4 linked regions of the Caenorhabditis elegans genome follow. The protein of the gene in region 1 interacts with the protein of each later gene in a pairwise test. Each region holds a gene or a part of one and is shown in the gene's direction. Other genes may lie near its edges. The genes, in order: pha-4, lsl-1, nhr-31 and hlh-27.

Region 1 (10,281 bases):
GAACACACTATGTAATACAAGAATGTTCTATGTGACAGATATATTTTTAACAGTTACCGTAGTCAACATTTGACAGCTCTACCATTCTTCAGTGTTATTTTTTGGTTTGTTATTTTTAGTAATAACAATTTAAAAACATAATACTGTACATTTTCAAATCTGGTAAACTTTCAATCGTAATTTTTTTTTTCAATTTCGAATTTCTGCTTGAAATATCAAATATGTATATCCCTTATCTTTCTTTCCTTTCGATTTGTTCTCCCTTTGTACTAATTCATATTTTTATTCTCGTGGTTTACCTCTTACAAGTAGTACAAGTAGCCTCCCTTGTCTAACTTGTCGGCTTTTTTCTTTGATGGCAAAGGGCTACCTGAATAAGAGATAGATGGTGACCCTCTTCGTTTCTTAATACTTACAAGTTGAGTTAGACGATTGAAAACTTCTTACATGGCAACCTCAAATTTTAAGTCCTGATGACTTGAGAAAAAATAATTTATATGAACCTGATTCAGACAACCTGGGAAAAACATGTTCTCTCTCTCTCTCTCAAAAAACCCTTTTTAATTGCACCATTTTCATTGTCTTTTCCATATGGCTAGTCTCGTAAGACAAGTTCAACTTTCCACTTTTACACCTGAAACAATCTGAAAATGAGCACCTTTTGTGTATTATTACACCTAAGTGCTCAGCAACAGGGGGTACTCAGTGCACATTTGACCCGGTCAGACAAATAGGTTGTCACCAGAAGTGGATCGATTTTTCTGCTAACAGCTAATCTGGCAAATGCTCCTCTGTTTCTGAATTTATCCATTCCTTCGATCAATTCAGGACTGTGAGCTTATTTCTTTAGCTGTTACTGACAAGTTTAGAAGAAATCGATAGTTTAGATGAAAAAACAACCAGTGAAGTGAAACCCGCCTCTAGTTGTCCAAAAAAGTCACATCTGAAAAAATTAATTTCTAAAACTTCATCTTAAAATAAACCAATTTTTTTTTCATTTTAAATTATTTGTTTCGAATCCGAAATGTTTGAATGTCTTGAAAAATTAAATCCCAAATTTTCCAAATCAGATACTTCCTATATCTATTAAGTTTTCATTGAAAAAATCTGAAAATTAACAGTTTCTGAATAGATATTAAAGTGTTGGGTAGAATGGGAAAGACAAATAATGATTGGATGTAAAGATTTCCAAAAACTTTATTAATGCATTTATATAAAAGTTATAGTCATTTCTTATCAGAAAAACTATACCATGGCCCTTGATAAGAAAGATTAGATTTTTAGCCCGCCAATAGGACTATCATAACTGCGTTCATGTTGTTCACATGCATTATATCTGTAAATCGCACATGGGTGCGACTACTTAACCGGACAATAGGTCTCTATAGGTCTCTGAAAGTGAATACAGAGGTGCTGAGAATAAGATCATACAGCTGGCTGTATTAATATCTGGGAAAATCATAATTTTTTGGATTTTTAAATCAAAAAAAAAAAAGATTGGTAATCCCTATTCCCCTTAACAAAGAAACGATAGCAAAGGCCTAAAGAATAGTGTTACAAAAGATTCTACCGACGATGAGCTATGCGGAAAGCGGAACCATTAAACTTTTGTCAAAAGGTGATAATGGACCATCTAACTTATTGGTCACTTTCCTGTCTTTGTAACTATTATGTTGATAACCCTCATTATCAGTGCCCTTGATGGACGGAGCAACGAGAGGGCAATGCTGTGAACGTCTCTTTTGATACAGTAACTATCCATTGGGAGATTAGTCATTCCTGAACCTAATACTAGTTTCGGATGCTTGGGTGTGGTATGCAATGAAAAATCAATGAGACGGAACTTGAACTCTGTTTTTTGTGAATCGTTGAAATGATTCACCTGTTCCAAGTTATTTTTGGGAGTATTAGCGTCTCATTGATTTAACTTTCTTATTGCTTTTTTTTGATTTACAGTAATTATTATACCAGTATTGAACACTTTAATAGTCTCGCACAGACTTGTTACCAGATGTACCGTATCTATTAATTAAAAAAAATAAATCGGAACGATTTGAAATTTTGAAAATTGTGAAAATTTTAATTTTCGTGCCTAAAACAGCATCAAGCAAATTTTTTGTCAAAGCTTGATTCTTTTTCTCAAGGTTTTCAAAAATTCAAAAGTTAGTACTGTGCCTTCAATAAAACTTGTAGTCTCTTAGTCTTACACACCAACGGACCAATGGACATTGTATGAATGACTGAAACAAAAAATATATTATACTTTTTTGTGATATCTTTTTAAATTGCCCTTTGTTAATACTACCTAATTCTTAACTGCTATTAACTGCTACACAACTAGCCTTATCTTGCTCCCATAACGTATCTAAATGTCGCGCGCGCGGCGTCCGTCCTCTTATGTATCTGTACCAGTCACAAAATTGTGTTGATGAAAAAGGCAAGAAGAAGAAGAATGGCAGTTGAGGGTGAGAAATTTATTTTTCCTATTGTCGTGGGGGAGATTGGACGGTTTCATTTTTTCAAATGAGATATTAAAACATGATTAGGAAGAGTTGAGATTAGCTGATTGTGAGCTTAATGATAGTTTTTGGAGTTCAATGTTAAACTTTCCATTTCTACACCACTATACGATTCTGGGTCACTAAACACCCTTGCTCAGACGGCTTTTCAAAGAAACACCATCTCCCCTCTCCACCACCCTACGCCTGTACAAAATGACTCAAAAGGGCACCGCGCCCGCTCTCGGTCTCCGATCACTCAGTCTCTCTCTCTCCCTCCACAACCCAAAAAGGAGGCTTGCAGAAGTAGAGAAGCAGAGAGTGACGATCGCTGTCTCCAGGTGTCCGTGTCAAACTCTCTTATCAATCAGTGCTCTTTTTCTCTCGTGTTACTGCGTCTCTATGTCCATTCCCTTCTACTCATTCCCATACAGCCCCCTTCTACACCACCATCATCACCATCACACTGTCACAGTGTTGATAACGAAGAGTCGTATCAAGAGACCTAACAAAATCACCCAACCCCAGCCAATATTACCTTATACACCCTATCTGTCCACTGCGTATTTTTTGAAGGACTATCTAATTTGAGATACAATGACATCGCCATCCAGTGATGAGGACATTATTGATATAAGGGTAAGGCACCAGTTATTTTCTGCTTCATGCATCGTTTTTTTTTAAAATTGTTCGGGGCCTCTGAAAACGTTTTTGTTAGCTCCCGGCTGTATGCTCACTTTTTTCGAAATTAAAAACTTACAACCATCTTTGCCACACATGTTTAATCTATTTCTGCAGCTACCTTTCTATTTCTCTTCTGAAACAATCTGAAAATGAGCACCTTCTGTGTATAATAGCACATAAGTGCTCATTAACAGGGGATACTCGATGTCAATATGACCCGGCCAGGATGCTAGGTTGCCACCTATTATTGCTCCATTGGTATTCTGGGAAGATGCACATTTTGAGAATATCATGAACATCTGTGATTTGTCAGAAATAGTTTAGGTTATTGTTCAGCTTACCATATTTTCTTCAAACATCACTACAAACTTTTTTAATGACATTAAATACATTTTTTCTAAGTTCAATAGCTTTTTTGGAATTTGAATGTTAGTCATGAACTCTTAAAATATGCAAGGCTCAAAAAGTGAAATTGTTAAAACTTTCTTTTAAGATTTTTTTATCGATTCTCTTTTCGGAGAGATACAATGAAAATTTGATTCTCACGGTCCACGCACAAAGTTTTTTCTTCGTTTTGCTAGAAAAAATTTCTATGGAACAATTTGAACATGTTTTGAAACACTGTGGAAAATTAAAAGTTTTCATATTTCGATAATAAGAGCTCCCGAAAAAAATGCTCCAAAAACAAAACTCGGGCCATCCAAATATTTTTTGTTTCGATGGATGAAATGCGATATTCACCGAAGGGGCACCACCACCAGTGGCTCCGAAAGCTTCCACCCAAAAATGGGAGCCTCCTAGACGTATATTTTGTGCTCTTTTCTACTCTCTCGCTCCTCCTTCCCATGCAAATATTTGACAATTTCGCAGTGTGTATGTGATATCAGTTTTTGTTTGCCAATTGTTGTTTCTTTTATTTGCCATGTTCGTTTCACACGGTTTCAGTGATAAATATGTGATAAGCTTCAAGACGAACCTAATTTTTTTAGAACAAAATATGACGAAATGGGGTTCAAAAGTTTGGATTTACCATGGAAAATGTTTTTCTCACTTTACAATTACTATTCTTATAGACATGAATTTTCTTTTTCCTAAAAACGTCCCACACTTTTTGATTCTAATATACCTACACCTATTTTGAAATAATGAAATCATATCGAGTGAGTATTGATAAGAAACCTCTTCTTCCGCCTACACTGCTTTCTACTCTATTTTACGATTATTGATTATTTTGGAGAAGTGTATAAGATAATGAGTCAGCGCAGTTAATGCTCAATAATAACAGGTGCTAAAAAATAGGCGGCAGATGGATGATAGTCGTCTCAAGTTTTTTTACGATTTTGAATCACAGCTGGAAAAAACGACTGTTAGGGCGAACATCTGGACCCAGAAATATTCATTCAAAATTTGCTTGAAAGAACCATTCAAAATCGGACTAAAAACGGCGGCAATAGTAAAAGGAAATAGTTTTTAAAAAAAGGCGAATCGGCAAACTGCCGGTGCCGGATATCAGATTTGCCGGAAATGTTTAGAGGGATTTTTTCGTAAGACCGAAACACTTTGCCGGAAATTTTCAATTCCGGCAATTTGCCGATTTGCCGGAAAAATTGTTTGCCGCCCACCCCTGATTGATACCACGCCTCTTTTCAATCAATAATAAAAGTTTTAATAAAAATGTGAGAGGACCCATAGCGGTATTGATAAGGTGGTCTAAGAAAAGAAAAAAAATTAAGATTTCTCTTGTAGATTTTGTTGAAACATTCACATGTTTTTAAAAAAATAGCGATAGTTTTTTTTTTCAACTTCGCCGCCACGTAGTAAAACCCTCGCATCCCGAACCTATTTCCAACCCACTCTCATTTCGTCATCGTTCTTCAGCTCTTGAAATTGCCGTTTGTATCATTTGGTGCTATATATTGCATTTTTAAGAGATTTCCTTGCCGCTTTTCCTCTCATCAACCCTTAAGCTTTCGCCGAAATTGCCCCCGGACATATTTTCAATTTCTTCACATCTGAATCCTCCTCCCTCCTCTATCCCACTTGTATGTAATTCTATACCACACCACCTCATTCTTAGTATCCTAGTACGTGCTAGGCTAGGACACAAAATTGGGTCAAGTGGAAAAGAGATATTTTGGAAAATTCAATGAAAAATTTGAGAACTTTTTAACAATGAAAAAAATTAAACTATTTTGTTTGAAGGTCATCAAAGAGGAGCCAGAGTCGGAACCTGACTCTGAAGCCGAGCCAGCCACAACCACGAATTCAACGGATTCAGAAGATTCTGTGGAACAGGAAAATAAAAAGTTATTGGAAACCGAGAAGAATCGAAAACGCGAGCAGAAACATAAAATGTTGCCAAATGGAACCACTTCTGGGACCTCCGACACGGGAAATCAGGTGCCTGCCACGTCGTCGGCTGCTTCAAGTGTAGACTATACGGTAGGTATGGTGCGGCAAATTTGGTAGGGTGTCAAAAATAAAGTAATAATAATAATCGTCATTTTTAACCCAAGCTTATCAGAATAAAAAACCATATGGCTAGTTGTATAACCGTCTGGCGTATCTTTTTGATGATTAATTTTTTGAGTAGGTAAATGCACTGTGAGTCATTTAGTTTTTTTATTCTTCTGTTTAACTTGTTAGTTTCTGCAATAAGTTTTAAAATTTCAATTCGTTAATCAATTTTTTAAATCGAAAATATTTCTTTGAAATTCAATCCCAGATTCTGAGTATATCACCAAAATTTAGAATTGCGAAATATTTTGAGGTCCAATACGGCTCAACATTAAAATCAACCAAAAATTAAAGAGTGATAACCAAATAGGGATTATGTTCAAGACGCTGTGACACCAAGAAGTTGGCAAAAAAAATTTGATTTTAGCTGAAAATGGGCAAATTTTTTCTAGAACTTTGAACCGCCATAGCTTTTTTTTGAGAAATTTTTAAAACGTCTCATTATGAAATTCGGTAGTTTTGCGTCATTTTGGGTTAAAAAAGCAAAGTCTCAGATTTCGGTACTCCTCATTTAATAAAAATTCGATTTAAAATTGTAGCAGTTAGTTTTTTTTTTGTAAAATTTTTTAGAAAAGTAGCTAAAAAGTAGCAAAGTGATGGTGTCCAGAAGAAAATAGAAATTGTGAGGTCCTCCTACCAAAAGAAGAAGGGGCTGGGCGTCGTGTTGCCCAAGAAGCCAAATATTTATTCAATTTCTATTTATTTATCCGACGACGACGAGGAACCCCCCCCCCCCCCCCCCCCCCCCCCCCCACCGTCCACAAACACACACACAACCAAAATTAGAATTCTTAAAAAAGCACCACGTGGAGATTACAATTAGTGAAACACCTATACTATTTTCAGCCATGAGTCAGTTGAAATCTAAAACAAGGTAAAAATCCGAAATGGGCGGAGTCCGCGACGGGGTTACTGTGGCTAAGCGATAGGCGGTGCGCACGCGCATAGGAGGGCAAGGTAGGCGGAGTCCCGCTGCTCTAGTGCCTAGCCTCTCCTTCACCTCTCTTCTTCAGTACGGGGCGTTCTACTTACCTTTGAGCATCATCTTTTTAAGGAATTTCCAAGGCTCAGGTTCAGAGGTCAAACGGGACTTATTTGTTCATTTCCATGTCTAGCTCCACGTGTGGGGCTTCCGAATTTTCTAAATATTTGTTATTTGTTATAAACACACACACACACACACATTTTGTATTTATCTTTAAATATTTACATAATCCCAGACCTCAAAGCAAACTTTCAATTTTTTTCTTGCAGGCCATGAACGCTCAGGACTATCTGCCGACGTATTCTAATACTACGTTAAACTACCAACCATATCAGGTAAAAAGTTTGACCCTGTTCTCACTAATAAGTCTAATAACATCCATTCTACTTTCAGTACCAGACTGCTGCCAATGGACTTCTGAACTACAACAACTACAGCCAGTATGCCACTGCTAATCAGCTCGGATCGAACTACATCAGCCCAGCCAATTTCATGCAAGGAGGAGGAATTTCACCTCTTGGTAAGTTTTAAAATATCCCTAATTGTCTAAATACTAACTCTCACATACATAAAAACAGTATAGCATATAATTATTTTTAATACGGTTAAGACAATGCATGAATTTATATCTATAGACAATCCTGATTAAATAAATTATTGTGAGATACTCTTCACTCTGAAAGCTCTAAATATTTCCCAAGCACAAAATGAGTATCCATTATTCATTCATACCTACCTTGAGTGGCGCTCTCTATACACAATTTGTAATTTGATCTCATTCAGGTTTTACCACTGGCACCACCGGAGCCACCACAGCGGCCGCTTCCGTGGCCACGTCGTCCGCCTCAGCGGTCATCGGAAGAAGCAATGGACGATCAAGCTCGACGGTTGCTGCATCGCCAGCCGATAGGTCTTATTCTGGTGTAAGCGGAGGGCAAGGCCAAGAACTCACGATTCAGGAATTTGAAACTGTCACGGAAAAGATCAGAAGACATGGAACTTATGGACAATCGAAACCTCCATACTCTTACATTAGCTTAATTACTATGGCAATTCAAAAGTCTAATTCTAGACAATTGACATTGTCTGAAATCTACAATTGGATCATGGATTTGTTCCCTTACTATCAGAACAATCAACAAAGATGGCAAAACTCAATTCGCCACTCCCTCTCCTTCAATGATTGCTTTGTAAAGGTTGCCAGGTAAGAGTCTTGAAAATTAAAGTTTTTTCTGGACACGTTTTGTCCCGATAAAAAACTTCTTATTGTTTTCCCACAAAAACCATCATTTCCTATTATAATCGGAACCTATATAGTTTATCTCAAGGACTACCTTTTCTGCAGCGCCACATTTATTATACCGTGCGCCCAAGGGACACCCATTGATGCGTGAAGCTGTTGAAATGAGAAATTACCGGAGAGAGTGAGGGTGCGCGTTAGTGAAAAGATTTGACAAAAAATCTATATGGATGTTTTCCGGAAACGATTTACAAAGACTAAGTTTATAATTTTCAGGTCCCCTGACAAGCCTGGAAAGGGATCCTTCTGGACTCTTCACGAGCACTGTGGGAATATGTTTGAGAATGGATGCTACCTCCGTAGGCAGAAGAGATTCAAGGTCAAGGAACGTGAGCCATCGAGAAAGAAGAGAAATGCCAACTCCCAACAATTGCATCAACAACAACACATTCCAAAAATGGAAATCAAAGAAGAGGATCCAACATCCATCACGACCACATCATCACTTGGTGCTTATTCTCTGATCCCTCAAATTTCTACAAAGAAGGAGATCAAGGAAGAGCTGAAAGCTGTGCAAGATGCAACTGCAGCTGCTGCCAATCTTGGCCTAATTGACCCATCGGGAACGCCGTCGGCTGTTAATCACAGTCAACCTACTTCAGTGATCTCAAGTGTTGGCACACTAGGAACCACGCAAGCACAGGTAAGATAAAATCTAGCCAGTGAATACAATATTTCAAGCTCCCATTTTGAATTTTTTCAGATGACACTCAATGGTCAATACGCGTCTCCTTACCTCTACAGTTCGGATTTTGCCACAATTCTCCCACAATCCCAGAATTTCCTGAACAACACACTCTACAACACAACGAGCAGTTATCCAGGAATTGACTACACCAACGGAGTATACCAGAATACTCTTTACAGGTATGTCTGATGGTATAACTAACGATGTTTTGTTGACCCCCTACTAATTTTTTTCGTTTGTTTTCCTTGTTTAAAACACATCATTTATTTTCTACGGTCTCATGATTATTTTGAATGTTTTAGAAGTTAACAATAAATTTCAATTTAGTAAAAATTGGAGTCTGGTTCTACTCGGTCATAATAGTAAGATTTAAAAAAGTACTAACGAATTTGATAGTATTGGTTTTTATTATCAAGGAAAGTATTTCAACTTAATCCCGGAATTCTGAATAAAATTTATGTCATTTGAAAGAAGACCTTCTAAATAGGCCCCTGCAAAAATTTTAGCGGCAGAGGATCACTCTGCGCTGCAAAAAAGTCGCTCTGAAAATTTTTCAGTGAAAATTTCAAAACGTTTGAGGCCCGAAAAAATGTTTCAGGTGTAAATTTTTGCACACTTTCAATGAATTATTGGTCTTTAAGGAGCCGGCTAACAATCGGAAATTTTTTTTGGACTGTTTCGATTATTATTTTTTGGACTGTTTCGATTATTGGAATTTTTCAGATTATTAAAAAAAAAAACTTCCAAAAAGCGTCTAGAATACTTGAATGAAGATTTTCAAAATTATCATTTGGAGCAATTTTACGGGCCTCTAAAGTAGTTAAAAAATGCACTGATAGCAATTTCAGATCGACTTTTATCCAGTTCAAAGTGCTCCTCTGCCGCTAAAACTTTTGGGGCTTATTTAGAAGGGTTCTATGAAAGTATGCAAAATGCACCTAAAAATAAAATATAATTAACATGGCCCGTTGCAAAAAAAGTCGATAGAAAGCCTAGTTCCATATTTAAATAATTTCAGCTCCACCAACCCGAACTCGGCCGCCAACCTATAAATCTCCAATTCACACGTTCTCCTTTTATTGGAACAGGGCATAGGATACTGCTGATGCTAATACCGTGAAAAAAATGTTCTATGGATGGAAAATGATTATTTTTTGCGATCCTCCTGCCATTGGTTTCAACCGGCGTGCTTGTGTCACCTCATCGTTGTTGTAAATACTGTTGAGAATTTATATTCATTCTTCGTCCCATGTTCTCTTTTTTTAAACTGAATTTGAATTTATACTGGTTCCCCTCTACCAGATGCCTTAACTTTTACCAGAAATTGATTTTTATTCCTCCATGTGTAAAATCAAAACTTTACCGGTTCCGAATTTAATTCTGAATGTTTTCTGCAATAAGTATACACCTATCAATATCAACATAATATTCCCCAATGTTTTTGATGAATTTATTTTTTCCACAATAGATATGTTCCATTTTTATCCGCAGGGACTTGACTCCTCTTTTCCATGTTTTCCAGGCTCCTTCTACTTTATGACTTCCTAAATGTCTTTGTATCTAACACTATTCACTTCTTTCCAAATTCTCTCCATTTTCTCATGGTATT
Region 2 (6,533 bases), on another chromosome or scaffold:
TATTTTTAGAAATATTTGTTCAATTCAAAAAAATTGTTTTTAACTGGTTGAGTATTTAATTTTTAATTTTTTAAAAGAACTTACATCTTTTAGAAGAGTAAAATATTCTACACATTCGGAAGAAGTCGGTCGAATATCAGCATTATCATTCCAACATTTCTTATAAAATTCAGACAAAATAGGATTACATTCGAGTTCTTGTGGACGTAAGTTAGCTGTCGCAACATTATATAAAAGTCCAGGAACTGAGAGATCTCTTCGATACGGATGATTTCTAGCAATAATTTGCCACATTATAATTCCAATACTGTAGATGTCAGATTTCATATTATACTGTTCACATCGAAATACTTCTGGAGCCATTGTGATTGGAGTTCCACGATTTGAAGTCATTGATTGATGCATTGAGGTAAATGTTCCAAAATCACATAATTTCATTGTTCGATATCGATCAGAGAGAAGCATGCTGAAATTATTTTGATTGACCACAGTAGGTGATTTAATTTTAATTTTGAAAACTGACCGCTAAAGATTTCTGATAATTTATTGAAATTTGAAAAGCTACAAAAATTAAGAAATTCCTCATTTTTACTTTTAAAATGGCTTTTTAAAATTATTTTCATATGATTAGTTCTTCTTGGAGGATATTTTTAAATCCACTTTGAAATATTATTTTTTAAAAATGATTTTTTTTAGATTTTACACATTATTTTGTGGACCAATTTTCAAGGAACTTTTTGCTTAAAAAAATAAAAAAAATAGCTCACACAAAAATGTAGAACCCTTTAAAATTAATTTTTCGAATGTCTAAAAATGGATTCGAAACATTTCTGCTTTTCTGTACTAAATTCACTTAAAATTTCAAAAGATTTTGTTGAATTTTTCTAAAATCTAAATTGTTAAATTGACAGGATCTCCGCCATTAATTCTTTCAACTTTTAAAAAATTTACCTAATATATTAGCTAATAGTAAAGAAAAAAATTTCAATATTTTTCTGTTAATTTTCAAAAATCACTGAAAACATCTTCACATCCAACATATATATTTCTTTCAATAATTTCTGCTATCAAAAACTCACTTTTGAAGTTTCAAATCTCTGTGAACTTGGCTGTTGGAATGGAAAAAATCGACGGCGGATGATAGTTGAAACATCCATGAAGCCACATGATCAATTGTATAATTAATGTGTGTTCTGTCGTAGAGTACTGAAAAAAAAATAGATTTTTCAGCTAAATTTTATTTTGGAGAATTGCCTCATTGAAATGAATTTTTAATTTCGTAAAAAACAGGGTTTGGAGAATTTAAAGCGATTTTTTTAAGACTAAAAATGGAAAAAAAAAACCAAATAGCATTTTTTTTGTTCAAAATTATAGTGAAATTTTTTTTGCCAGATTTTTCGTGTTACAGCGTCCATATATTGATTTTTATTCAGTTTCTTCCATATTTTGCAGTATAATCCGCTTTTTTGATGTATTTTAATATATTTTTAGCTGATAGAAATTTCTGTTCCTATTGCCGAAAAAATGTAGTTTAATTCGCTAAGAAACACGGAATAAACCGACAAAATGTTAAAAAATTTGGCGAAATCGGGGATTTTCACTAAATTTAAATGAAAATCTCACAATCGGCCATGCTTCCACAATCCATATATTCCATAACGACTCCTTGCCCATTCCGAGGGCTTTTGTACAGTCCATAAATTCTGAAAAACTTCTATTTTCAGTATTTTCCATTTATAAAAACATACTTTATAATATTAGGATGATTTCTGAGATCCCACATAACTTTTGCTTCTCTTATAAGAGTTGCCATATGAAGTTGAGAAGAATATTTGATTGCTGCTGGCCTGAAAATAATATTTTGGTGATTTTATTGATTTTTTGTTAACTTTTGATAATTCCTCATGCTTTAAAAGAATTAAATTTAAATTTTTGAAGCTAGAAACGAACCTAAAGTCATCCTGCCTAGTTTTTCTATATCTTGTTTTCTCAACCAATCCATAAGTGCCTTTTCCGAGATAATGACTATTTAAATTATCAATACATTGTGCTTGAATTTCGGGAATATCAATTGTTGAGCACAATCCGGAATCTCGTGTTGTTCGTTGTGTTGGTGTCTGAATTTATTAATTTATTGAGTTTTCAGTGATTTTTATTGATAGTTTTGGTAAAAGCAGGCTTTATACGTCTTCAACTGATTTTTTTAAAAATTAAATACAATACTGTTTTTACAAGAAAACGTTATTTTTCTTTACTCAAAATCCATTAAACTTACAATTGCGGCAGGACTTGGCGAATGACTGGACGAACTACTAGACGGTTTGCTCTGTGACGAATTGTCCATTTCAGAGCCGAAACGGTGAAAAAAATGGTGATGGGCGGCAAAGGACAGGAACTGGCATGTGTTGTGTGTGTATACTCTTTCTCTCGCTCAGTGGAAACGATATAGTGCACAAGTAGAAGAAACTGCAGACGAATAACAAAATAGACCAACGGGACACAGACAGATTTCCGATTTAGACAAGGAAGAATGATGATTTTAAAGAAGTTACTGTAGCATGGCTGAAAATTGTTTTGATAAATACATAAAATTCAATTGCGCAGGTTTTACAGAAAATTCAAAATAAAGAATAATTGAATGTTTTAAGTTCTGAAAAGTAAAGAAATTACACAACGGGGAAGAAGTATGGAAATTTATTCAAATTATATTTGTATAAAAAATACAAAGATCGAAAATGTTCTAATTTTCTGTTCTTCTGTTCTAAACTAATTTTGTTAAATATATAAATAATGTTTTCAGCTTAATTCGAAATTGCAGAAACAATTCTTTGTTGGGGACACTGTGCTCAAAGGCGCATGACGCAACGAAACTTTTGGGTCTCACCACGAAACTGTCAAACACGGTAATCCTAAAATTTAGAGAAGCTGTCAATTAATTTATGAGTTTTGTTTGTCTTAATTTTATGTTTAAACCAACAAATTGTCTGCATTTTTTCTTCAAAAAATTTTATTTTTTACTTCAGATGTCAATTATTGATGACCGAACGGATCCATCTTACGACGGCGAGGACTACGAAGCTTCTATAACGGTATTTTATTTCGATTCTTATTTTTAAGATTATTGAAATGTTTCTAGTTCGGAACCTATCAACAAGAAGAAGTCGCCCCGTTTGCTGTTCATCAGTGTAATGTGTGTAATAAAATGTTTATGAATTATAAAGGTTATTCGCATAAAAATAGAAAGCTGAAATAAAAAAAAACATTTCAGGTCTCCAACAGCACTCTGTGATTCATACCGACACCAAACCATACATCTGCGATGTTTGTGGCCGAGGATTCCGATACAAATCGAATATGTTCGAGCATCGTACCGTTCACACCGGCTATACCCCTTATGTGTGTCCATTTTGTGGAAAACAGTTCCGATTGAAAGGAAACATGAAAAAGCACATGCGAACTCATGTGACAAGCAAAGAAGAGTTGGAAGCTGCTTATAGACCATATTCGAGGTTGGCAATCGGTCGACCCTTCACCTTCACAAATAGTTCGTGGTACGTATATTATACATTGGACGTACAATAAATATGTTATTCACATTGCATTGCACGAATTTTAAGAACTTCGTCCATTATATTATGTGAATAATACATTTATTGTACGTCCACCGTATAATACACGAACCACGAATTATATGTGTTGTACGAGGGGAATTCTGATATCTATCTCGTCTTAAAAATGATTTCAGCAATCGGCGTTCGTCTGGAATTATTCCGTCCGATGCTCTAGTCATTCGTGGGACATCGATGCCCTATTACAATCCAGAGAAGAAGCGATCGGTTCCGAAACTTTTATTGGGTAAAGATCCTTCAAAATGGGTTGATATGATCTGCCGAAACCAGCTTATCCCACTATCTTCATTTGACGATAAAATCATGAGAGCTACAATGCGATTGACTAACTGTCACATGGCATCCGATGTTCTAGAACAAGCTAAACCACTCGAGTTTGAGATGTAAGTTTCAATTCAATTTGAAATTACAGTACTCTTTAAAGGCGCACGCCCTTTTGTATTTTACAAAAAAAGAAGACGTGAAAAGACCAGCGTTTGTATTTTTACCGCAAATTATTATAATTATTGTCTTACTAATATCCCATGCAAAATCTGAAAATTACAGCTTTCGATGCCCAATTTGCAAGTGCGAATGTAGTGGAAGAGAGGATTGTCAACTGCATATGTATGCTTCTCATGATAAGAAAGAAGCTGAAGAACCAAATTATTGCACGGTAAATAATTGAAAATTAAATCTTGAATATCCTGTAAACTTTATTTTCAGAAATGCATGAGAGTATTCGCCGACGTAGATATGTATCGTCAACACCAAAGCTATCATTCTCGTGTTCAATTGATGATTCGTAATAATGAACTTGAAATGGTGAGTTGTTAAATATTGCTAATTCTTAATTGTATTATTTTGTTTCAGGGCTCTCCAGAAGTCGATATCTCTCAAATCTGCTACAGTATGATCACTAACACTGAAAATGAGATGAACATTCTAAAACCATCAGCATAGTTTTTCCCCTGAATTTTCCCCACATCCCTGTCTTTCTAACGCCCGTGTAATTGTTTTGTTCTGTTGCACTTGTTCCTTTCATTTTTATGAAGTTTTCATTTTGAAAATATGAATGGAAGACAAAATACAACAAACGTTGGATGATGGCAAAGTTTTTTAAGGAAGGAAGTAAAAAAGAAGCATAAAGGAGTTGGGAAATTCACAATTAAAGCACAACCAAAGCAGGACAAGGTGAAGAAAAAGACAATTTGGGGGAATGTTTGAATGGTAAAGCTGTGATAATGAGAGAAGATGATTTCTGATTTTAAGACATTTAATACACAGGGTTGGGGATATCAATGATACTTCTTTTAATTTGGAAAAACAACCAATTTCAGATTCTAGAATATAAATTACATTTATGAGACACACGTTTTGAATATCCCTCTCGCGGGGGAACAAAAAAAGATTTGAGGGAATCGGGAACACACAGAGAAAGAGCAGATGTTTTCGGAGAAAGCCGGGAAAAAAAAGTATGAAGAAGTGAGAGACGCAGACGAAAAGCAGTGCAGGTGGCTCATTAAAGAGGTAAACGAGTTGAGGTGGTGCATATTGATACTTTAAGATTATATGTTTGACGGATTTGAAGGTGTTTTGAAAACTAGAAAGCGGGGAGTTTTTTGAATTTGAAATGGAAGAGAAAGAGGAGAAAACTAGGCCAGCATTTGCTTTGTGGATTTACGAGCGATTTAACTATTACGGGAGCACAATATTCTGAGAAAACATGTTTGACGTGCAAAATATTTCGTAGTGAAAACTACAGTAATTCTTTAAATGACTACTGTAGCTCTTATGTCGATTTCCGGGCTCGATTTTTCTTTCAATATTCGAAAAAAAAATAATTCAAAAAATCGAGCCCGTAAATCGACACAAGAGCTACAGTAGTCATTTTAAGAATTACTGCAGTTTTCGCTACGAGATATGTTGCGCGGCTCAGAATGTTGTAATCTCGTAATATATAAGTAGTTTCCAATGTTTCTTGCAAGTTTTAGCGTTAAAATTGCATCAATTTCAGAAAATAGCCTTAAGTACACATCGGAATATTATTTGCAAGTTTCATTTTTCAATTTCCTCTTCCATTTCAATATTCTTTAGCAAAAAAAAGGTCGAGTGAACAATAAATAAACTAATTGTAAGGACCGTTTCCCCCTAACATATTGTCCAATTCACTTGATTGAGTATTTCTAAGAAAGGTCAATGACCGAAAAGTAACTGGCAAACTCTCAACTACTGTCATTTTTGGTGCAAACGGTGCAATCTGGCGACATCTGCCACTTCTTAATACGGTCTCTCTCTCTCTTCGCTCCACGATGCTTGATTGATGATGACCACCGGGCTGCTGGTGCTGCCCGAGAGAGCACACAGATTTGAGAGGAGTAGAGATAAATCAGTTTGAAAGAATAGATTGAGGAGAGTGAGGGATAAAAGAAAAAACTATTTGAATAAAGAAGGAATGTATTGAGTTTCTGAACACAAATGTGAATCAATCGGTAATGTGAAAACTAGAAATAAATACGATTTTTTAAAAACTTAAAACCCTTGCTGCATTTGCAATTGTGTCAGCATGATTTGAGCAAGTAGAGCACTTTGATTTCCGAAAAGAGCCGCTTGTGGGGAATACTGAGGGAATGGCACTTGTGGGGCAGTCATTTTGAGAAGAGCCTCCGAGAATCCAGGCATTTGAAGGAGCATTTGAGATGTTGGGGAGCTCTTTTCCGCGGAGCCAGGAGCAACTGGAGCAGCAACAGGTCTTGATGGTGTTGATTGAATCTCTGGGATCACGGATGGAACAGGTGACTCGCATTTAACTTCTTCTTCTTCTTTAATAAGAGTTGGAATATCATCTGATGTTGTTTCAACGTCAACTTCCATCTCGTTCTGAAATAAATTACCGTTAAGATTAAAAGATAAAGTGACTTTGGT
Region 3 (10,375 bases), on another chromosome or scaffold:
AGTTTACGTCTCGATATGTCAAGACAATATGATGGTTGTGGGAGCAAATTGAATTCCGAGAAACTTACAATGATAAGAAATTGTAAGAAATAAGTAATATCAGCTAGTTGGTGTAGTTGAGGTTTGAACTTTTCATATGAACGGGAGGAGAGAGAGATAGAGAAACATTTGGAATTCGGAAGTGATTGTTGGCAATACGTAGGTTAGCAGATTAGTGTTGATAGAAATTGATAGACTGTTGGAAAATTGCTGGCACAATATTAGAAGAGTTTTGAATCAAACTAATCATTTCAAAAATTTATATTTAAAGATGGAGTATTTAGAGCCAGTGGGGAATTTTTTTTAAACCTATGGTGCCAAAATTACCAAATAGTAAAACTTTGAAAATAAATTTAATTTGTTATTCTGTTTTAAACAGTTTTGCCCGCTTTTTTGGAGCTCGTCAAAAAAAGGGGGTTTTGACAATTTCTCCATTGGCAACTGACCTTTATCAACAACGATCGAAATGTTAAAATTCAAGTTCAGTACAGAAACTGAATCCAATTTTTGATATGGAGTCTATTTCTTATTATTCGATACCGTTAGAAATCAAAAAATTAAAAATTTTAATTTTCCATGTTAGGTAGCTTATGAATATTCCTATTGAAATCTGGTGCTCATGCTTTCAACTCTAAAAAAATCCCAACACAAATAGGCCATGTTCTTAACTGTGTGATTCTATTAATAGACCTCCTTGTTTCTCATTTCATGACCGTATCATCCAAAACAATTTCAACCGATAGTCCTTTTTCAATGACCTTTTCATAACATTTAACTGTCCTAATCAAATCGGTAGTTTGTTGTTTTAGTTGTTTAACCAAATGGTTTTGTTGCAACTTCAAGCCTCGTGTACCTCTAAAAACAGATATTTTCATCATATCTTATTATGTCTCCGCCTCCTCCTCAATTTCTCACCAATTTCATCTTCTCCTCCTTCTCAATAGTTTTTCTCCCCACACACAAATTGCGCCCGCCCCCAATTTGCATTTTACTGTTGGTGTCCCTTGATGTGTCCCCCTATCGCCCAAAATCCCGTCGTTGTTACGTTACTATTCAGGCGGAACACACACAGTCACCAGAACCATCATATTTTATTTGTTTCTTTTTTCTTTTCCTTTTCTATTTGAAACCATCAACTTGGGATTTCCCATCTCACGTCTCAATGTTGCAGAATCTTTAGTAAAAGTCGAAACACAAATATATGATTTATTGGCAGGTTATTATCAGTTTGTGCCAATTTATTATCGAAGAACAGTTTGATTAAATCAAGTAAAGTCAGAAAGTCTATTCAACTTTTATTAAGAATTTTAAATATTTTCTATAATCTCCAAGAGTTCGACTCATATTAATGTGTATTCTTTACATTATAACTTTTAAAATTCAATTTTTTTCGCTTAAAAGTTCAAAAATCTGAAAAGAACAATCGGACAATCGTTGTGGTCGTCATAGAGCTGAAATGATCTACGAATAGTTCAAAGTACTGTATAATCTAGTAGCCATATACATTTTCATAATCCTCTCCGTATTTCTTTTCACCAATCCGCTCCGTCATTTTGCATTTTTAACAAGTTTCGGTTATTCCATATTTTCATTTACATAACTTACACGTTTATGTTTCTATTTCATGTTAATTCCATAGTATTCTGGATGGTTCCAAAATAGTTTTGAATTGTATATTGTTTGAATTGGTCCAACTCCGAGAATTACCAAAAGTTTAGAACATTTGAAGAAAACATAACAATGTTTGGTTATTGATAACATAAATTTTGTTGAATCTTCAAGCTTCATTTATTCATATTTTTCCAAATTTCAAAAAAGGATTTCTAAATTTAAAATGTCCACTAAACAATCCTTAATCTCTTGGCAGCTCCTCTTCTTCACACGTGGTTTTTTTCAGTTATCAGAACAATAATCGGTGGTGTGCCAGCTTGCTGAATTGGCTTGGCAAACTTTTTTTGCGTCCTTCTCCGCCACCGTCACTCGTTATCATCAATCACAAATTTTTGGCTGCTGCCACGTTAGACTCTGATTTGTAAGGGGGACATGAACTATTATCAGAAGCTAATTCTTAAATTCTAAAATGAAAATATTAATTTAGAAAAACGAGAAATAGATAATAAATGGAAACCTACTCTCGTTTCTTTCTCCAATAAATCAAATAAAAATAAGAAAAGTGCGACTGGTTGAGTCGTTACCTAACTTTATCAATATTTGATTAGAACTTAACAATGTTTTTGAAATGATCCACTTGGACGTACAAGAGGTAGTACACATTAAACTGACCGTTCGATTTTTTTTCTTAACTTTAATTCACTTAGAGAAAGGTAAAAGGAATCCATATATAAATTACGGGATGTAAATAATATTTTATTATTAAAGAAAGGTTTTAAAACAAACTATGTAGAATCTAGTCAAATAAGTAATTTTCTATTTCTGGAGATAATTTTATTTAAAATTGAATTTTCTTAATTACAGAGAAATTACGTTCAAAATCTCATTAAAAGATGTGATAACCCGACACCTCAATACATTGACCGTTTAATTTCTTTCCGTTTTCATATATATTTTCATCTAAACACATTCATATATTTATATATACAAATGAAACCTAAACCCGTTTAATAATCCGCCTGACCGTCTATCCATCCTGTCCGTCCGTCTATCCTCCTGTCCACCTTCCGACCACAATTACCGTCCCTTTTTCTTTCATTTTCACCGTTTATTTTTCTGAAATCCGTTGCTTTAATATGTATACATTTATATATACTTTTTTCCAGCAACAACAAATAGAAGAACACGAATTTTAATTTCAATTAATTCAAAATTTTTCCCATATCGACGCTGCCGTTTGCAGCACCATCTGTTAAAATGGAACAACTTGATGTCGAAGATTGGGAGTATTGGGGTGATGAATATCTTGAAGAAGAACCAACTTATGCAATAAGACCTGGTACAAGAGTTGTGAAAGTTGAAAGGTTAGTAAATCGATTATTATAACTTTTCTGTGCATTTGAACTTGCATCATAACCCTAACTTTTTTGAGAATTAATATCAAATTATTAAGATTTATTTGCTCAATTGATCAGTTGGAGATCATTTCATAGTTTTTTCTTTAATTTTTTGAACTTGTGAGATAAATAATTTTCAAAAAATTTTGTTTACCGAAGCCGCCAAAAAATTTTATCTCAAATATATAGCTCTAGTGGCTCTTTGATAAAAACATTGAAAATTGAAAAGAAAAGATTTACTTGAAACCCCATTTAATGCTAAATCTAAATTTATTCAAAGTCAATGTGATACAAAATCCCTTCAGGCCTTAAACTTTTACATCTATTCTGATATCAAAGCATTTGATAGTTTCAAAGAAATTACGACATTTTGGCAATCAATCGCTGATCTTCTGACGTTTTCAGATCAATTGACAATGATTTAAATGAACTTTTGAGCAATTATCTCAACTCATTAGAGCCATTAGATAGTTTTCAAGAAGCTGCAAGTACGTGTTCTATTTGCATTTTAATTCTAATTCCCTTTTGTATAGGACAGAGTCTCCCCTTTGTTATCTTATTCTTGCCCCGCCACGACGCAACAACCATTTTTGTGATAATAATTTGCAATTTTATCAATGGCACTACTACCTCTGATCACCACCATCTCACACATACTTTGTAAAAGCGCGTCGATCGTAAATACTACTGTCTTGCCACTTTAGTAGTAACCCTGCCACGTGGAAACTTTGAAATTTGGCGTGGAAATGAGTGAAGAGGCACGTGACAAGATGCGCGCGAAGAATGATCAAATTGCGATAAAAAGGGATAGGTGAATGATCTTTGTGATTTGAATGCTACTTGAGGAATGGTTTACATGGAAATTGAGAAAAAGTAAAATAAAAGGGTTCAAGGACGGTAATCGATCAATTTGAATGAATGAAGAAAGATATGATTGTGATTGATAAAAGGAATTTGCTACAAGAAACCGAGACGAACTGCATCGGTTCATATGAGTCAGATGTGTTCTTCGGTTGAAGAAGATCACTTAATTTAGTGAGAAGTTTCTTTTGAGATTCAATTTTGATTATATTCTTAGAAGTTTTCAGAAAGACAGTTTAGTATTCACTCCACAAGGTTAATAGCTAAAAGTATTCTCTACTCGATTCGAAAAATAATTTTTGCGGGTTTTTACTTTTAGTATAAAATATTTGAATTTGAAAAAATCTCTAGTTAGTAGTTTGTTCGTGTGCAAAGCTTAAACAGGATAATTAAAGTATTTTAAAATATAATCCAGCTTTGATTCTAGATCACAATTCAGCATCTACTTATAGATAAACTAGTATATGTTAACTTCCCCTATCCTATCCAATAACCTTTTCCTTATTCAGCTGTAAACAACAATTGATACAAGTTATCTTATCTCCAAATGCCTCCTCCAATTTTATGAGACCCGTAAAAAAATTCGATAGACAAAAAGCATTACGATTTTATTTATTTTGGTGACATTTTGGATCCTTGTAGTCAGAGGCTCTATCATTTGATCTTCTAATATATCTTTACAAAAAGGCAATACATCCAATTAGCCCAATTAGTCTGCACGTCTTGATATAAATATGACATCATACATTTACTGATTCGAATCGTTGATTTTTAATTTAGAATTAAGGATAAACAGAAAGAAGATTTAAGTGTTTGATTGGAGAATATAGGCATCCTATGCTAAAAGCTATCTCTAATTTATTACTGACATCATCCGTTTCTCGTCTGTGTTTCATGTATCTTTATCACCTTTCCCTCCTCTAGTAGAATGACCTAGAAAGTGATTGGCAAGTCTGGCAAGCCTACAGGGGGACAAGGGTTATAAGATTGATAGGTAATAAATTCTTGTAAAATGAAGAAAAAAAATTCTGTGCGGATAAACGAAGCGGAAATCATCATTGTGTGCGTGCTTTGAGGAAAGGTTCGCGCCTGTTTACTTGCCTTGTTCGGAGGTCGAGATTTCGGACACGAACCACCTCATATTTTTCTCTCGTTTCTTTTCTTCGATTCTCTTTTTTCCATTACTATCTCTCTTCCTTTGGTTCTTATTTTCTCGACAGTCTCTTTTGGTCAGTATAGTTCCTAACTAGGAACTGTTCGAAATCTGGCATGATAATTCTTCAAAAACGCTTATGAAACTTCAAAAACTCGGACTATTTTACTGTGAAAGTATATACCTCCGTTCGTTTCAACAAAAAAAAAGTTAAGCTTTGAAACTATAGAAAAATTAATAATACATCTGCTGCCAGTTGATTTTAAATTGATTCAATCGAAAATAGCCAAGATATCAGGTGCCAAAGTTGAGCAAGATTAATTGAGAAAATAATGTTTTTGGGAGTGCATTTTTTCAAATATACAAGTAGTTTATCAACAAAAAATTATTTTGTACTGGTGTAATTGATTTAAAAAACAAGTAATTGATGTGAAAAACAAGCTTAAATACTGTTCTAAAATAAAGTTACAGGTGTTAAAATGTTTTAAACAAATTATTTACTATTTGTTCAAAACCTTAGTGACATCTAATCTTTATGTTTTCATTTTCTCTTCATCCTCTCAAGCGTCTTCTGTTTTGTATTCTTCTTCTTCTTTATTTCAAATCAGTGTCTCTTTCGCCTTGTTATCAGTAAATCGTCGTCGTCTTCTCCTCCTTCATCTCCTTTTATTTCAATGTCACTCCCACTTAATTTCCCCCATTTTGTAATATTATCATAGAGAGACACCGCCCCATAGGTATTCCCCCAAATACGTCAGTTTTTCCACGTGGAACTTTTTGGTCTTTTTGATGTGTGAACTTTGATAGTTTGCAACAAATTGAAATTATGAATTTTTTTTATCATCAATGGAATTGGTCACTGTTCCAATGATTTTTTAATTGGATTCTTAAATGCCTTTTGGCTAGAAAACTTTGCACATTTAGCTCCGATTAAGCAATGAATTTTTACAATAACAAAAAAGTGCCTATCGACTTTCAATTCCGCTTCCACACACAAAATTTTGCAATTTTGAAACTGAAAAAACCGTATCAAATATAATACTCTTTTGAAAGTTTAATCACTTGAAAAATGTAATTCCGTCTTCACCAAAAAACGTTGTATTTTCCAAGACACAAATTATTGTGGGAAGATCAAGAAATCAAAATTTCAAGGACACACTCTAGTTTTTAAATTTTATTATTTTTGTGTTTGAAACTAATTTTCCCGATCTTTTAACTTTAAAATTTCCAGAGTTCCAATGATGCGAGGAGATTTAAGGACAAGCGGTGCCACGTCATCAAGTGGTCCCGCCACGTCATATATCATCAGGCCCAGTGACAAGCAACCCACAGTTTCTAGTGGTGGATCACAGAATGGAGATTCAGTTTGTGCTGTTTGTGGTGACGGAATTGCAAAATTACATTATGGAGTACTTGCATGTTATGGATGTAAAGGATTCTTTAGAAGAACACTGACTGGAAAATATCGATATGCATGCAGATTCTCAAATAATTGTATTGTTGATAAATGTAAGTTTTTTAAAGAATAAATTCGAATATACTTGACTGAGTATCTTTATAATCAAGAAAATACCTGAAGTTTCGGTTTTCAGTCCAGCGAAATAGTTGCCGATACTGCAGATTTCAACGTTGTATTCAAGCAGGAATGGATCCAAAAGCAGTCAGGCCGGATAGGGATCAGACAGGAAAACAGAAAGTTCCAAGAATTAAGAAGAAGCAAATTGATGAGGAGCTTTTAAATCATATGGTATGTTTTGAAAATGTAGATACACTGAAAAAAAACTGGTGGCAAATTTAAAATTTCCAAAAATTTGACAATTCACAAAAACTTGACATAAAATTATGGAAAATCTCAAAATGATTTGAGTGTTTTTTGTGATGTTTTCTATTTGTTCTGGAATAATCGAGTGAAAAATGTTTATGCATATTCAAACAGTTAAAATTTAGTTTGTGTTGTTGATAAAATCCAGAATAACTTACACTATACATGAATGATGTATAAATTAATACTTGAAATTTTCAGATGCGGTTACAAGGAGATGATTGGTCACGAAAACTTCCTGTCGAGACTCGAATTTTATTAATGCAATTGATGAGTATTGAGGATAAAGTAGTAAAAGGAGATAATAATATGAGTGCACAAAACACTGCAAAAGATCCAAAAAGTATTTCATTACGGGAAATGTTTGAATCAAAACCTGCATTAGATGGTCGACGGATGGAAATTGGTTATGAACCATTTCGAATGGCAAGAACTGAAGAACTTGGAGTAATTGCTCATAGAAGAGCAATTGCAGCTGTTGATTGGGTTGATTCATTAACTGAAATTGCGGATGCAGTTGATACTGAAGATAAAGTTGCATTGGTTAAAAGTTGTTACTCGCCGTTAACTATTTTCAATTTCTCTGCGAGAACTGCTCAGAATACGAAGAATCCGGATATTTTGTGTCTTTGCAGTCATTCATTTGTTCCAAGAAGATTGCCTCCAGAGTTTAATGAGACAAAGTAAGTTGGAATTTTAATTTAATTCCAATTTTTATCAACGCAATAAAAATATATGAAAAATACTATTTAAAATTAAAGAAAATTAATTTGATTTATTCAGTCATCTCTCAAACTTCCTGATTGATCGAACGTTAAATGAATTGGTGGCTCCATTGAGAAAATTAAATCTGAAAGAAGAAGAAATTGTTCCATTAAAAGCAATTATTATTTTAAATCCAAATGCAAAAGGACTATCCGAGCATGCGAGGCACGCGATTTCTGAGTTGAGAGATAAAGTTCAAGATATGCTTTTCCAAATTGTCAAGGAGCTTCATCCAATCTATTCTGCAAGCAGCCGATTTGGAAACTTGTTGCTTCTTCTGCCAACAATTACTGTTAGTCGTCATTACTGTTGCATTCTCTATTTCAAAACATTTCAGACTCTTTCCGGATTGATGTCTGAAAACATGCATTTCTGTCAAGCTCTTGGAGGACGTGCAAGTGGAGATAACTTGTTAGCTGAAATGTTTGGAGATAGAACATTTGATGATCAACTTATCAGCAGCAGCATTAGCCCACCACTATTCGAGAATCCAGCTGAAATTTGTTTAGAGGTCAGTTCACTAAAAATGACTGAAAGATCAAACTTTATATCATTATCTTTTTCTTTTAATTGTCATTAAAACTATAAACTCATTAAAACTATAAAATTTCGGAGTTTCTCGGAGAATTGAAAGTTGAAATTTGCCAACTACCAACTGATAAATGGCAATGATAAGAGTGTGCAAAAATCTAATTTCTTGTTTGTTTGCAGAGTATCTCACCGCCAATGTCTGATCGAAGATTCGTGAGAAGGGTAGATGTGGCAACACAGACAAATGATGATTTGTTATCATCTGGACCATATCTTCCACATTCAAATTCATGTAGCTCCATGCTTAATGCTGGATACTCTCCTCCAATGGTGAGAGAAGTTTGAAAATATTTATGGAATTTGAGGGAAAATATGTTGAAACTTTCTTGGATAGTAAAGATTCTAAATTGAGGGAACTAGCTTCAATGCGTTTTACACAAACATATTCTTAAGAATATACAAGAAGTTTGAAAAACGTTCAAAAAAGCTCAGATAGAGGCTGTGACTATTATCGATTTTTCTTTTATACAAATCGGTACCTATTTTTGCTAACTCGCTCCAAGTCTCTTAACATTTTTTTCTTGGGAATTTCTATTTCTATTATTAACACCGTTTCAAGTTAAGACTAAAGTGGTCGAGCCCAAGAAACTCCTTCCATATGTGGGCTTTTTTGCGTTTTTCAAATGTCTTGTGGCTAGGGAAATGTTTCTTTAAAATTAACATTAAAAAATCCAAATTCTCCAAAATTTATATAATGAGTGAATTTTCAGCTGTCAACATCTCCATTCCCACTTCTCGATGACAATGACAGTGCCTTCCAGAATGACATCAGTTTGACTGAGCTGAATGGTTGTGAAGAGTTCTTCAGTCAACTTATGGATCAACCAATCATTGACAGCTAAAATCTACAGACCAACCCATCTTGCCCGTAATTTCTCATTACTTATATGTGTACATATCTCATTAAAAAAGATCGTTTTCCTATACATACAATATACATACATAGTAAGTTATTGTCTCTTTTTAAACCGATTGTTCTTCTCATTCATTGACATTCAAGAAATGACATACACCCCTCACACATCACCAGAATATTGAATGTATTTTTTGATTAAAAAATTATATGTTCGATTCGGACATTTTATGCATCTAATCGTAAGAATACAAAATTCTCCTCAAAAAATTCAATGAATTCACTTGTTTTGCAAAAGATCAAAAATGTCTCTCTCTTCCTCACTTTTTCCTCTCATTCTCTGTGTCCCTCTCTCTCTTTTCTTCTGTGAAATCCCAGGTATGAAAATAGTCAAAAAAAAAAAGAAATTTATCTGTTTAGTGTGCTGTCCCCACGAAATAGAGTAGATGCATGTATTTCCCCCGGTTGGGATTCCCCATCCTTTTTTTTGTATTATTCTTGATTTCAGCTATATTTGACTCTTGTGCTTTTTTGTTATAAACAGATTTTATATGAAGAGATTTTATTAGAAAATGTTATAAATTGAGCATTATTTCAGAATATATATATATATATATATATATATTATATAGATTATATAGATTATGATTATGATTATGGAGGTTAAAAGTTTGTTACTCTCCGTTGACTATTTTCTTAGCTTAGGCTTAGGCTTAGGCTTAGGCTTAGGCTTAGGCGTGGCTTTGGCTTAGGCTTAGGCGTGGCTTAGGCTTAGGCGTGGCTTACTACTTTAAATACAACTTTTTTTAAATGCGTTTATAAATGTTTTAATCTTGTTCAACTTTCCATCTGAGTTCTTATTCATTAGTATATGCCCCATTAGAACAAAACGGAAATTTGCGGCAAATTTTTTGTGTTAATCGCCGATTTCACCGATTGTCAAAAATTGAAAACCGGTGAACGCAGGATCCGCCGATCGGATGTTTCGGCGCATAAGTGCGGTTTGTGATTCTGTGATCGCCATGGAAAACTCCTGCTTTCTCACATGGAGACAACACCTTGAAGAGTAGAAAGATTTAACTGAAATTTTTAATAAATATTGTTTCATTATTTTCATGTTGGATATAAAAATTATTAACTCTTATATCCACGTGATAACCGTTTCAAATTTATTTTCTATACTTGGAAACTTCAAAAAAAATGTATTGTGTATTTTGAATTGATTCATTGTAAACGGTCACAATGACTTCTCGAAAAGCTAAAGAGGTAATTTTTGTGCTTTC
Region 4 (5,817 bases), on another chromosome or scaffold:
CTCAAGCAGTAGCGTCTTTTGTGTTTTTTTTTATTAATTAGTAAAACATTTTTCGAGTAATTTATTATATACTTTATCAGGATATGCATTATTGATATACTCAAAAGAATACCACCGTTTGTCAAAGTAAAACAATATTATTATTAGAGGAAAAATTGGGTGAAAAATTTGTTATTAATTATTTAACAAATGGCTCAAACACGACGGAAGTTGAAAAACAAAAGTTTGCTAGTTTTTTTAAATAGAAAAACTTCAAGAAATAAATGGAAAACTAACTTACATATAGTGTCAGAGAAGAAATTGAAAGTTTTACCTGACGTCAAACTCGAGATTTGTTGCATCTGAGTATGAAAGAAGATTGTAAATCTGTAAAATTCTGCTGAAAAAAATATTGAAAACATTTTCTAAACAAATTTAAATATTTTTTTAAACCAAACATGCTCAGACAGGTGCGAGTCACGGCTAACCGACTCAAAATCACTGCTAATTAGCAAAACGCCAAAAAACCAGAACTAATTAGCTTAAAACCATGGCTAATTAGCAAACCATTGCTAATTAGCAAAAAACCAGAGCTAGCCAGGTTGACTCTATCCCTGGTCAAAAAGCTAATTAGCAGTGATTTTGAGTCGGTTAGCCGTGACTCGCACCTGTCTGAGTGTACGAATTGATTATCAAAGTCATCCCTTCAAGAGGGATTCTCTTGTTCAATTAGTGAATGAAAAAAAAACGAAAAGTCCTGTAGCTAAAAGGAAAAACTGAGAGAAAAATGTGTGCATTGACGATTTTTATGAGTATTACAGATGTCGTCAATTTAATGTTGGAAAACGTAAATGCAAAACAGAAAGAGACAAATGAACTGTTTTTTTTTAAATGATTTTCAATTGTTTTTAAGAGAAATAGTAGCGATAATTGTTGGTCAGTAACAGTCAAAACATGACTCATTTTTTTGTCGAAATGGTTTATCAATTTTCGTGGAAGCCCCTTGTGGTCGGATCAATCAGACTAAAGCTGCGATTTTTATAGATCTTGTTATCTCTATTAACAATTGCGATTTTTAAGTTACTTCAGAGTAACCAAAACGAGTTCAGGTTATTTTAAAAATAATGGATGGCGTAAAACAAAATTTTTAGAACCACTTTTTGAACCTAACAAAGTATTGGAAGTATTACCAACAAAAAAAGTTTCAGAACTCATTTCCCTAAAACAAAGGACAAAAACATTCAGGCCAAAGGCAACCCTGTATACAGAAATAAGACAGAAATTATCATCGTTGCAACGGGGGGAGACAACAAAAAATCAGAATTGAGAAAGAGCCATGCACCATGAGTCAGGGATTTTTCGTTATTAATAGTTTTTGATAAAATTTGTCCCTTTTTGTTGAAGCTGAGGAGGCTTATTGATTTGAAAGTTTGTTCACATAACCTTTTAGTTGGCAATTGGTACACTTTGGAACACTGAAAACGGAAATATCAGTTTCAGTGATTTTGATTGAAATTGAATACTAATTTCCTCACCAATTACATTCAATCACTTGACTTGACTTCGCTATTAATTTATTGCTCATAGTTTCAGATCTTACCTTCACATCTGCTACAAAATGGACCGCAGAAAGCTTCAAAAAGAGGCAAGAAGTGAAATGAAAAAGGTGAGTATTTCAATCTCGTTCTGAAATTCAACTCATCTTTTATATTCAGACCGCCAATGGCGTCGACCGTGCCACATATAACCGAGCAAAGGCTCTTTTGGAGATAATCCGGAAGGTTAGAAATATACATTTATTCGTCATCACATTACATTTCTAGAATGCCTAGGACCGTTTCAAGACATCTGTGAGAATTATGGAAACCCGCCTTCAGGAAGAGATTGCCACAAATGATCTGGCTTCCTCCACGATCTCCAAGGTGAGTCATGATAATTTTGACTCGGCAAGTTTCCAAAAATTGTCTTCCGTCGTTGTACGATGAAATTTATGGCTTAATATATTAAAGAATAAAAAATAAAAAATTGTAATTTGGGAGACAGATGTGAGTATATTTAAGGTCATAGCTACTGCCATAGGATTACTGTAGCCAATATTCCAGTAGCTGAACTATTCCACGGGCAATCTCCGTTGTTATCATGATACTGTATGATAATTGTAATAAAACTAAAAATCGTTTCTGAGATCATGAGCGAAGATCAAATGAATTTATTGGCGGGTTATTATAAGGCTACTGTCGTGATACTGTAGTGATACTGTTGCCGAAATTCATATCATTGGAGCAAACAGGGAACACAATTTATATTATAAATCGTCCTATCAACTTTCAAACTTATGTCGTTTCAGTCACGCCATGCCATTTTTGCGTCCATAATCGAAGAGCTCAAATCAATTTCCTCTCACTTTTGCATTCCAGCTCTTCCAATATGATTGTTCTCCATATTTATTCTGTTGACCACTGTCAATTCAAAATAGATATCTTCTTATATAAAAATTATGTTCGAAGAAACTGTTGCAAATCAATCTTGTTTAGAATTACTGGCAAAATAATTTCAGTTGTTTTCTCCTATTTTATTTCTTTTCGAGATATTTCTGTTTAAAATGTTGTTCATCCGGTACAGTTGATACTACTATAAACTTATAGAATAAATTAACACAGTGCCAATATCCTAATTCACAGTCTCAGCCGGAATTTCCCAGGCAGTACCCAATCGATATCCAGTCGTCTAGTTTCGCATGGTCCCAAGACAAAACTGGAGATGTCCAGCCTCGTTCTCATGAGAACCTCACTGATGAACCATGGGAACCCATGATGGGGACTGTAAAAATAGAGATTTCAGAATAATTCCCATGGCTCCAAACGCTTGATACAAAGCTCCACCCTCTGAACAATAATGGAACTATAAAAGGTAACCATTTATTCATTGTTCATTTACTTTCTTGGTGGATCACTGGTCTGCTGGTTTAGTATACTTTTTGATAATTGTAACATCAGGAAAGTGTACTGATTTTGATCAATTACTTTTAAAGCATTCAGTGAACTGTATACTTCTAGAAAAACAGCACGAGTTATCTCACTAAACTAAATCAATTTGTGCTGCTTTCTTGGTCTCATTTTTCTGTTTTGTCACAATTATTCCTTTTATTTAACGGCTCATCTTGAAATTTTATAAATTCTAGATTTCTTCTTGATTTTAAAAAGATTAAAACTTATCAAATTTCAGATGCCAAAAGTTATCCCATCTTCAATGAGCGATTATCGTTCCGTCCCATACAATCAAACTCCAAAATCAGGATCTGAACGGAAAAGAAGAAATATTACAAACGAGTTGATTAACGAATGCAAGACGATTGTTCAAAAATCAGAAGAAGAACATATATCGTAAGTTTAAATACTCTGTTAGCTTAAAATAGTTATTAAACTAATTCATTTTTTAGACAAGAAGTAGTTCTCTTCCGAATTGTGAAACTTGTGACTGGAGTTAATCTGGAATCTAATTTCTCATCGAATGACCTCTCCGAATCTACAAGACGGAAGTTTGATACTGAATCCGAAAGAAGAAAAGTGAAGACTGAACGTGAAAAGATTCGAAGAAAGAAACAAGATGACTGTTATGCTGAATTGAAATTCTTCATTTTGAACAAACAAATGGGAAGTTACGAGCAACGGTAAGAGTTTCATTATGGCTAATAAAAATTCAAAAAATTATTTTCAGATTAAAACTTGAACGGATCACAATTCTAGAAATCATCATTGATTACATTAAACACAATTCCGATCTTCTGTATCCAGAAACAATTCCCCAAATACTTCCTCTTTTAGCTGGAAAATCAACTGCTACTTGTGAGAACAAAGAGAATGAAAAGCCAAAAACACGAATGGAAGTGAAGGATCTCTTCCCAAGATTGACGTTTCAAGAAGTTCAAGAATCCCCAACATCTACTTCTCCATTGCTCACATTTCCATGTATTCCAATGATCCCAACTACTCAGTTCAATGTCTTGTCAAACTACAACACCGTTCCATCAATATTTTCTGCTCCCCTCCGATTCATTCTTCCATCACTTCAAATCTTAACACCAGAAACTAGTGACGAGGAAGAAAATGAAGAAACCGTCGATATTAGTAACTAGTCTATCAAGTTCTTCCAGATCTTACAATTAGTTTCTGAGCAATTTTTCGAAAATCTTCATTGTCTATATTGCGTTTTTGATTCATTTTTTTATCTTTCTATGGCCAATATTCCCGAACTTTTTCATCCCATCGCGTCGCAATCTATTTTTGAAGATTTTTTACTACTCACGTGATAGTCTTGTCTAAATTATTCTGTTTGAAAATGAATGTTTATTCGGTAAAATTTGTTAGCCAGAATACAAGCAAGACAAGTATGTATAATCAAAGTTCCATTAGTCCACACCAAATTCCATCTCCCAGTCATACGGAAACTCTTCAATGTCCTTGTCTAGCATCACTTTTTGCAGTGTTGTATAGATCATCTCATAATCGGGCTCCTTGAAGAACGAAAGACTGTCGATATAGCTGGAAATGGAAAATTACGAATAAATCAGCTTTGGTAGAGACTCACTTCATAATCAAGCGAAATTCATCTGGGCAGCCAGCAAGGAATTGGCCCATGATCGGTTGGAAGCGGGAATTCTTCTTCATCGCACCAATCTCGCCAATCTCATTTACATTTTTCCAGGGAAGAGCTGCATTGGTGAAATCGACGAGCATGTAGAACCTAGAAAAACACATTTTCTCAAATAAAAACTATTATTCTTATTTTCAATTCTAAGTGATAACCCAATCTGGCCTTCTGGCATCTTTACAGAATATATCACATAAATGACTAGTTCTTAAATTGATTAAACTAGCCAGCTTTCCAAATCGTCCTTCAGTCCATGTTCCGCCGTATTATGTGATGCAAGCGGTGCATATCGAGGGCTTCCACGAAATGGCACAGTTTTTCTTGGCTCGAGCATCAAATTTTCGCGATCTACATACTTTCGGCAACATCCGAATCTAAGAACAAAAATGTTGCGAAGCTCGCCTTGGCTTGCTCTTCCGAGATAGAAGTTGCCAGGGTTCACATCTCTGTCCAAGAACCCACTCCAATGCAAATCTTCCAATGCTTCCAAGCATTGAAACGATGCCCCAATCGCAGAGCCCAAATGTCAAATGACCATCAGGCCCAGTCTTTATAGCATCTTGCAGGGATTTCCCAAGAAGCTTCATGACAATATAGTTAAAGTTGTCATGGCGTCCCTTGTCTGAAAGATGGGGTTACGGTTACCTACAAAAGTGTACTACATACCAATGAGAGTAGGCATGTGGCTGGGCGACTTCTCAGATACCTTTGTCATCACACAAAGCTCAATTCTCAGCGACTAAAAATAACATTTTCTGCTTAATGGTTCGACAGTATTAACTCACATATATCTCCTTGGTATTCAACTGAGCCTTCAAAACATGCTCCTCTCCAGCATCATCTCGCACAGCATACACTGCTCCGAATTCACCATCTTCAAGTTTCTTGAAAACCTTGTAACGACGAACTCTATAGTCAATACTTAGCTGAATAACGGGAGCCTCCGTCATCTCGTGACGAGAATAGATTTGAAAATAAATTATTTATGGATTTTCGGAAAATATTGATCTTGTCGTTGACGAACTTTTTTAAACACAACGTTATCACATCTTTGAAGTCCACGTTCAAAAAAAGTTTTTCTTGTTTTTTTCTGCAATAAAATTAACTTCATAAACTAGAAAAGGAGATTTTCAAAAATCCGGACTGTTGATTCAAAATTATTTCAAATTGTTTTTATTCTGATATATA

The links.
Region 2: the proteins of pha-4 (region 1) and lsl-1 interact in a two-hybrid assay, tested with the Caenorhabditis elegans proteins (one large-scale study listed by BioGRID).
Region 3: the proteins of pha-4 (region 1) and nhr-31 interact in a two-hybrid assay, tested with the Caenorhabditis elegans proteins (one large-scale study listed by BioGRID).
Region 4: the proteins of pha-4 (region 1) and hlh-27 interact in a two-hybrid assay, tested with the Caenorhabditis elegans proteins (one large-scale study listed by BioGRID).

The regions. Positions count from the first base shown.
Region 1 is NC_003283.11:20,749,957-20,760,237, forward strand, and holds the start of pha-4 (Defective pharyngeal development protein 4), read left to right. Parts: upstream 1-3,095; coding exon 3,096-3,137; intron 3,138-5,384; coding exon 5,385-5,624; intron 5,625-6,572; exon of another isoform or gene 6,573-6,781; intron 6,782-6,953; coding exon 6,954-7,019; intron 7,020-7,077; coding exon 7,078-7,204; intron 7,205-7,467; coding exon 7,468-7,888; intron 7,889-8,200; coding exon 8,201-8,627; intron 8,628-8,687; coding exon 8,688-8,851; intron 8,852-9,690; coding exon 9,691-9,724; 3' UTR 9,725-10,281.
Region 2 is NC_003279.8:9,898,256-9,904,788, forward strand, and holds lsl-1 (C2H2-type domain-containing protein), read left to right. Parts: upstream 1-3,023; coding exon 3,024-3,089; intron 3,090-3,136; coding exon 3,137-3,221; intron 3,222-3,268; coding exon 3,269-3,509; intron 3,510-3,745; coding exon 3,746-4,012; intron 4,013-4,175; coding exon 4,176-4,284; intron 4,285-4,334; coding exon 4,335-4,433; intron 4,434-4,481; coding exon 4,482-4,571; 3' UTR 4,572-4,674; downstream 4,675-6,533. Other genes in the region: Mitogen-activated protein kinase kinase kinase mom-4, read right to left, coding at 85-466, 1,080-1,206, 1,624-1,703, 1,749-1,847, 1,951-2,117, 2,276-2,344; Zinc finger protein ztf-11, read right to left, coding at 6,141-6,488.
Region 3 is NC_003282.8:8,021,955-8,032,329, reverse strand, and holds nhr-31 (Nuclear hormone receptor family member nhr-31), read left to right. Parts: upstream 1-2,816; 5' UTR 2,817-2,907; coding exon 2,908-3,014; intron 3,015-3,672; exon of another isoform or gene 3,673-3,819; intron 3,820-6,292; coding exon 6,293-6,570; intron 6,571-6,653; coding exon 6,654-6,808; intron 6,809-7,084; coding exon 7,085-7,566; intron 7,567-7,666; coding exon 7,667-7,940; intron 7,941-7,985; coding exon 7,986-8,159; intron 8,160-8,359; coding exon 8,360-8,509; intron 8,510-8,949; coding exon 8,950-9,081; 3' UTR 9,082-9,675; downstream 9,676-10,375. Other genes in the region: C26B2.2 (Membrane-associated kinase regulator), read left to right, coding at 10,335-10,358. UniProt on the Caenorhabditis elegans protein: Orphan nuclear receptor.
Region 4 is NC_003280.10:5,537,597-5,543,413, reverse strand, and holds hlh-27 (BHLH domain-containing protein), read left to right. Parts: upstream 1-3,200; 5' UTR 3,201-3,204; coding exon 3,205-3,362; intron 3,363-3,418; coding exon 3,419-3,649; intron 3,650-3,696; coding exon 3,697-4,114; 3' UTR 4,115-4,339; downstream 4,340-5,817. Other genes in the region: C17C3.24 (uncharacterized protein), read left to right, coding at 1,839-1,901, 2,327-2,410; C17C3.11 (Protein kinase domain-containing protein), read right to left, coding at 5,004-5,251, 5,296-5,368, 5,415-5,579.